Linked DNA regions of Bombyx mori. The protein of the gene in region 2 interacts with the protein of the main gene of each other region in a pairwise test. Links are inferred from orthologs where the notes say so. Each region holds a gene or a part of one and is shown on either strand. Other genes may lie near its edges.

Region 1 (3,897 bases), on a different chromosome or scaffold from region 2:
ATTTTGGTAGCAGGTAAGGTATACCTGCAGCTGGGCAATCGTGCGTTTCGGTCTGAAAGGCTGGGGAAATTCATTATATTTATCTTATTGATTTTTCGATTTTATTTCCCTAAGTGGCTCTCACGGTTGCGGTAACAATTCAACACCCGGTGTTAGTTCTACAAAAATGTGAAAATTAATGATAGCGTAGTTTTTATCAAAATACAAATAAAACGAGTTAGAAGAAAACAGACTTCAACTTATTTTATCTATATTACATTATATACCACAACATCCTGTTCTCTGATACACCAACCTCAAATTATTGGTTGGTCAAAAGTTGTAAGGTTGACTAAAAACTACATTAAATTGGAGTTTCATATTACATATAACTTCTCTAAGCATCCACTTGAGCAAATTAAATAAATTAAGTCCTTCATATACCTAATCTATTCTACACGACCAACACCAATGTTAATTTAAGCAAAATGAATTTAATTATGCAAATGGCATGGACGATTTTGTTTAAACAGTATTTTTGATGACACAAATCTACACAGAGTGAAAGTAGCTTTATTATATTTTATGGTCTAGGAAAGCCGATTTTATTATGAAATCAAGCTATATTATTATATTACTCTATTATATAAAGTAACCTACACTTGTAATTTTTCCTCCCTAATCCTATTTAACAATCTGATGTATTTAGTTTGATTCTGAAACTACTTCCACTTAAGACATGGAGTTATAAAAACTTTAGCATTTTAAAAATCATGTATGTGTAACCTAACAACTATGCAATGTTATGTTCTTTCACTAGAAACAACCGGATTTTCAAAAAATTAAAACTATGACGTTTACCATTGTTTTATATTCCATTAACCTTGCAATTTTATAAAATATCAATAATATTTACCTCACTGCTATGGCTTTTCCTCTTGCTGCCACCATGGTGGCCATTCATATCTCTGTGAACTTGTTGATTTGTTTTAGGCGCAGTTGAAATGCTTTCCCGATGTTCAGATTGGTTTTTAGTGTATTGACTATTATCAGGTTCTCTATCTTTATCATTTCTCTGCCCATTGTGAGTGTCTGCCAAATTAGATCATAGCAAGTTTTCAAGTAGTAATGTAACAAGGCTACAGGAAAAATCATTTCAAGCTATAAGCAAATATAATAATCTTCCAGTATCTTACTTTTATGAAATTAACTGATAGTATTAGAAGCTATTAATGATAAAAAAAAAATTTTTAGCACCATCACAAAAAGTGGTAATTCATGACAAGTTTTAAAGAATAACTTACTTTCTGTATTTGACTCCCCCTCATTATCGCTTGATTCAGCTGCTACCATTGCTTTCCACTTGTAAACAAGAGCCCTGGCTGCAGGACCAACATCTCCTGGTTCTTTTCGTAATGCATTGACAGTCCGGCCTATACCTGTTTCTTGTAAGTGTTGAACTGTCACATCTAAGTGACTCAGTTTGTCTATGCATTTTAAAATCTAAAAAATAAAGATTTTAAGGTATTATAATATACTATTATAAGGTATACAGGTACAATATCTGGTTTATCACAAGTAATTTATTAGAGGTACTAGGAATTTAATAAGACAATACAAAGTTGTCTGTCCCTCTACAAACACTATTTGTTTATGACAAAGATGTAACCATTTTCCTTTATTGAGTAGATTCTACTTTTCTTCTTTTTCTTTCTTTTCTATTAACCCTATTTTGGACTGGATGGAATGCTTTAAGGCAGCAGCCTTGTCAACAGCGTAAGTCACTATGGGCTAATGACCATTGTTTTGTTTTTTAGCACATAATTACCATGTCTAATTTTAACAGATGCCATAGTTGTTAGCTTTTAACTTCATGCTGTGATAATTGTCATCTCTACTAACAGATTAAAAGCATTGAGTGACAAAAAATAAATTTTGTGCTGTTACAGAAAGTCTCACAAAAACAATGTCTTCGTTGATGCAATAACATTCATTACAATAAATTTGACGAAAAACAGTTGACCACAAATCAGTGTCTAAATTTTGGATCATACAATGAAAACTATTTTCCAAAAATTATATTGCCAAAGTTAGCTAACTTAATTTGAATATTTATTCTTCAGGTTGTTATTCTTATATTTTTATTTCATTACTACAAAACAATACATTTAATTGAAGAATAAATACTTGATTTCAACCGTTCCACTAGGATATTCAAGCTTAATAACTAACGTAAAGGGTTTACTTCTGGTGAATGTTTGTGTTTCATTCAGTCAATTAGATTAATAACTTTTTCGTGATGTTTCACATTGAAATACGATAAGTTATTAATCATTTGTTGCACATTGCCTTTTTATTGTTGATTAATAAAAGTTCAGTAGGGTTATTGTATATTTTTGAGGTCGAGTGCTGATGAATTATATTATATCTGATATATGATTTGCGTTCTGATAGTTATTATAATTATACTTGTATCTTATCTTTATGATTTGTAACATTTATAGTTTATTTAACGTTTTCCTTGTAAAAACTTTAAAGTTTGTCGGAGGACTTTCGTCAGTTTTTTTTTTACTGTATTCAGTATTGATAGCGTTAAAAGTTTCGTTGTAAAACCGTATGTCACCTCACTGCATAATTTGGGTTCAGTAAATATTGAATATATTTCCAATCGACTTCCTATTGCTGTGAAATTCATTAGTCTTCAATATTTGAAAACTTCACTTACTTTCGGTTCGTCGTGAGAATTCTTTTCCAGACTATGTTGGTAGTATTTAACTAATTCTAAAACAGACGCCATTCCAAATGTATATTACAACAAAAGGGTTGATTTTTTTCATCAGACAATGATAGCCACTGCCAGCTGGTAAACGGGCACCATTTTTGTCACTTTTTCATGCGTCAATGACGTTGACTGGTTTTTACCTTTTAGACGGCTTTGGTTTAGGTACTAGTTTTTTTTTGATAATTTTATGACTTGATAACGAGCCCTTTCGCCAAAGCCATTTTTCTTCTTATTTTCTGTTACAATATGAAAAATGATATGAAACGAAATGAGATGAAATTGAATAATTTGAGATGAGATGAATTGAATAAGATGACATTGGATGAATTAAGGTAACAGTAAAATAGTGGTTATTTTCTGAGTTTTTTCATAGGCCTTTTTGAAAGAACCCGAGAAGCTACGACTAGCGGCTTTGTTTCATCGATCACTGGCTCGATGTATCGCTACATTCGAATGCATCGGACCTCTTATCCTTTAGACCACGGCGACTTTTTCCGCGTTTGTGCGCTTTTGCGGATGCTAAACAGTTATTAAACTATATAGCTATTAGACATTTAAACCTGAAAAAGCACTAATTGAACAAAATAAAGCAATTCACATAATTTCGCTCCTCGCATTCGTAGCCAAAAGCTTTTTGGCTTGCTAGTGTAATCTACCAAAGACATTTTTAAATGTTTATTTTCTCTTGAATAGGTACAGAGTACGTTGCTCATACGACAGATCTTTTAAATTGTTTTATTGGCAAAAAGTGTAAAGAAATAGCATATGTTTAAACAGATTTTAAAAAGTGTTTGCTCTTTGACCGCAATGTACCGTTAAATATTTATTTATTTATCGTTTAGGCCACAGACGTTTACTGCTGGACATAGGCCTTCCCCAGGCCTCGCCAGAACGACAGGTCGTTGGTTCCCTTTTTGTGAGGTCTACCTACGCTACGTGTAATATTGCAGCAACGTACAGCTAACATAAAATTAAAGACGTTAAAATTGGCATAAACTTTGGCAAAGCAAGACTATGTTCCGAAAATATTCTAAGCAATTTGAAGATGGAGTTATTCTTCTATGTAATTTGAATGAATTCAAAGTAATTTGTCTAGATTTTAGTCTAAATACGTCAATATTTAGTTCGAGACAAAA
Region 2 (3,130 bases):
AATTTCGCAGGTATTAGGAGCAGTTGGATGTTTACCGGGAATTTTTGTCAAACTCGAAGTATCTTATTATCTTTTGAAACGTTTGCTTGGCGTGCGCACTGAAGGAGATAAAAAGGCTGCCAAAGTCCAAAAATTAGTCAAAAATGAGGTAATTAACAGTGGTACATTATTTAGAAACTACAGTAATGTCTTAGCACTATTTGGGCCGTTAGGTTGATCACACATCTATTGTAATTAAAGTTGCACATTAAATATTTTTTAGGTCCTCCTCGTAAATATTGGATCGTTAAGTACTGGCGGCCGAGTAATCGCCACAAAAGTTGATTTGGCTAAAATCGCCCTTACGAACCCTGTTTGCACGGAAATTGGAGAAAAAGTAGCATTGAGTAGAAGAGTAGAAAATCACTGGCGGTTAGTATCAATGCATAACTGGTATACCACATGTGCTTTGAAACAAGTTTTGTCAACATATTATTACTTATTTTCAGGTTAATTGGTTGGGGACAAATTCAAGGAGGTACAACTATAGAACCAGCCAACAACTAATTTTATGTTTTTTTTACATTTAATAATGTAAACTATGTTCTATGTATTTAATAAAATATTAACATAATATCAATATGCATTTATGTTACCTACCTTACAATTACTAATAAACAACACATGATATTTTGAACTATTAACAGAGACTACAGATATAGATATATAAACAGAGAAATAGAGTAAATAATTTATTGATTTTATTCATTTACATTATTGACTTTAGGCCATGTATATAAACGTGTTAATATCTTCGTCGTCGCGACGCATATATTTATGTTCAATAAGCCATTCTAATTGCTCTTTTATCATTTTCTTCGATGGTAGAAACATATTTTTTAGAATCTCTACCAGCTCGCTCTGCAAGGAATAAAAATAATAAAAATTTGTTACTTATTTATAAAGAGCGGACGGTTAGCGTGTTATGGTCATATTGTGATGCGTAGAGATGCACGTAAATAGGAGATGTATGGAAATTGTGGTATCCTGCAGGGGAAAAAAGGTCGACCGAAGAAGACATGGATGGAGTGTGAATGACGATATGAGAGAGAGAGGAGTGAGTGTTGAGATGACGGCTGATAGAGGAGAATACAAACATTGGCAGTGTCGATCCCACTTAGTGGTATAAGGTGGAGACAAGGAGAATGTATTTATTAGTGAACAATACAAGAAAAATCTTCAATTGGTGATCTTCGTCACTTCGTCAGCCCTTATCGTCTGAATTTCTGCTGCTTAGAATAAGATGTAATATTTGAATATGTGAACCCAACACACCTTTTCAATTATTTAAATACCATATAACATTTATTGGAGAATTAAGAATCATGAAAGCAATTACGAAAACATTGTCAAAACTTATTTATTTAAGCAAAGGCTTTCTTCCAAACCAATTTATTATACCTAAGTATGTTCAAATTTTTCTTTTGTTAAGTCATGGCAAAATTATAATCAATCATCATTTGTGCAGCATGAACTAGCTCAGTATCTACTTGGTATCAAGTGTGGTTACTGAAATATAAAAACACTACTACCCCATGTGGTAGAAGACCACTTTGCACTATTATGAGTGTAACCTGTAAGGAATACAGTACTTACTGATGCAATCTCCTAACACAAAAAGCTTACCTTAAGTATTTATATACATATTTGTTTTTAGTGGAAAGCATTCATGTACACATGTTTGGAACAGATATTCAAAGTTAACACAGTAAAAGCTCTTTATTCGCGCTTTCACTATTCGCTGATTAAAAAAATGCGACCTAATGCCTACGTTCGCGCCTAAAGATTTCTTGATTCACGAATCTCTATCTCGAAATCTAATCAGTACATACACATTGATATAAAAGATTCCAAGGTAGGAGGTCGAACCGAACATCCTTTGTAAACGCGCTTTTCCATATTCGCAGCATATTTAGGGAAAATATAGCCTGCAAATAGAGCTTTTACTGTACATCGAAACAAAAATATATAAGTTCCATACCTGAAGTGCTGTGTTTGTAATGCGTTTCCTCATCTTTAGTATTTTTATGATTGCCTCTTGAGTCCTCAATATTCTTAGCTGCACAATGGAATGATTATCTTCTATTTGAGATCTCTCTGTACTCAACTGAAGTCTTCCAATCAAATTTATTTTACCCCTACGTTGTGGTTTTCCATTCTTAATAAGCGCAAATTCCTGATTTACCCAAAATATTGTATTCTGGACAAAGTCTTTAGGATTTTGAATCAATGGATCATAGCACAACAATTGCCTTTTTAATTTTGGGAAAGCCACAAGAGACCATAAAGTCCTTCTCAGTTCAGGGTCTGGAAGTTCTGTTGCTAATCTCAAATTTTCATAACTTATTTTTTCCATAGGTCTTTGATTCCATGCAAATAGCACTGCCATTTGAAAAGTTGTAACATCCAAGTCAAAACGACCTACTGAATTAGCAAATGTTATAGTGCCATTGCTCATGTGATGATACCACTGCAATTTTCTACCTGAATGCTTTTTTTTATAAAACTCTTCAACTTCAGGAATATAGTCTTCTAATTCTAGTGGCAGACTTACTGTTACTCTTTCAGATCCACGGGCCCAAGCTCCAGCATTGAGTATTTTAATATTGATGGCATCATGACGAGTTGTGTCTGCCCTAAATTGTGTATTCAGATCCTCACTTACTTTTACATCTTGAAACATTCGTGCTAATTTATTTACATAGTCTGCAGGCATACCTACTTCACGTAACCACTCTACCATATCCTCTTCTTTTTCAGAGTCCGCACTTGAGTCTAATATCAATCTTCTTGTTAAATGAACCTTATGATACCTCATAAATACATCTTTGTTTTCAATATATTTCAAAACTAACAAAACGTCTCTTAATCTTATTTCTATCTGTTCACTAGTTAATCTTTTACTTAGCGGTGTTTTTCGTAATAACATATCACAATAGTTAGCGAGAAGTTCAGGGCACTTGCTTTCAGGAGCTGTACCTTTACTACCACGGGCAAGAGTTGATGAAGGCAACTCAAGTTTAAAAACAGTTGTATCATTTACCACGCATTTATAGGCCTTGTCCCTGGCAGTTAAAAACCTTGGATCATC

The links.
Region 1: the proteins of cullin-5 (region 2) and transcription elongation factor B polypeptide 3 come close enough for resonance energy transfer, tested with the Homo sapiens proteins (3 studies listed by BioGRID). The link is inferred for Bombyx mori from reciprocal best matches to the Homo sapiens genes CUL5 and ELOA.

What each region holds. Positions count from the first base shown.
Region 1 is NC_085112.1:7,691,240-7,695,136, reverse strand, and holds the start of transcription elongation factor B polypeptide 3, read right to left. Parts: upstream 3,122-3,897; 5' UTR 2,777-3,121; coding exon 2,705-2,776; intron 1,483-2,704; coding exon 1,284-1,482; intron 1,072-1,283; coding exon 896-1,071; intron 1-895. UniProt on the Homo sapiens protein: SIII, also known as elongin, is a general transcription elongation factor that increases the RNA polymerase II transcription elongation past template-encoded arresting sites.
Region 2 is NC_085129.1:7,724,686-7,727,815, reverse strand, and holds the end of cullin-5, read right to left. Parts: coding exon 2,021-3,130; intron 901-2,020; coding exon 763-900; 3' UTR 719-762; downstream 1-718. UniProt on the Homo sapiens protein: Core component of multiple cullin-5-RING E3 ubiquitin-protein ligase complexes (ECS complexes, also named CRL5 complexes), which mediate the ubiquitination and subsequent proteasomal degradation of target proteins.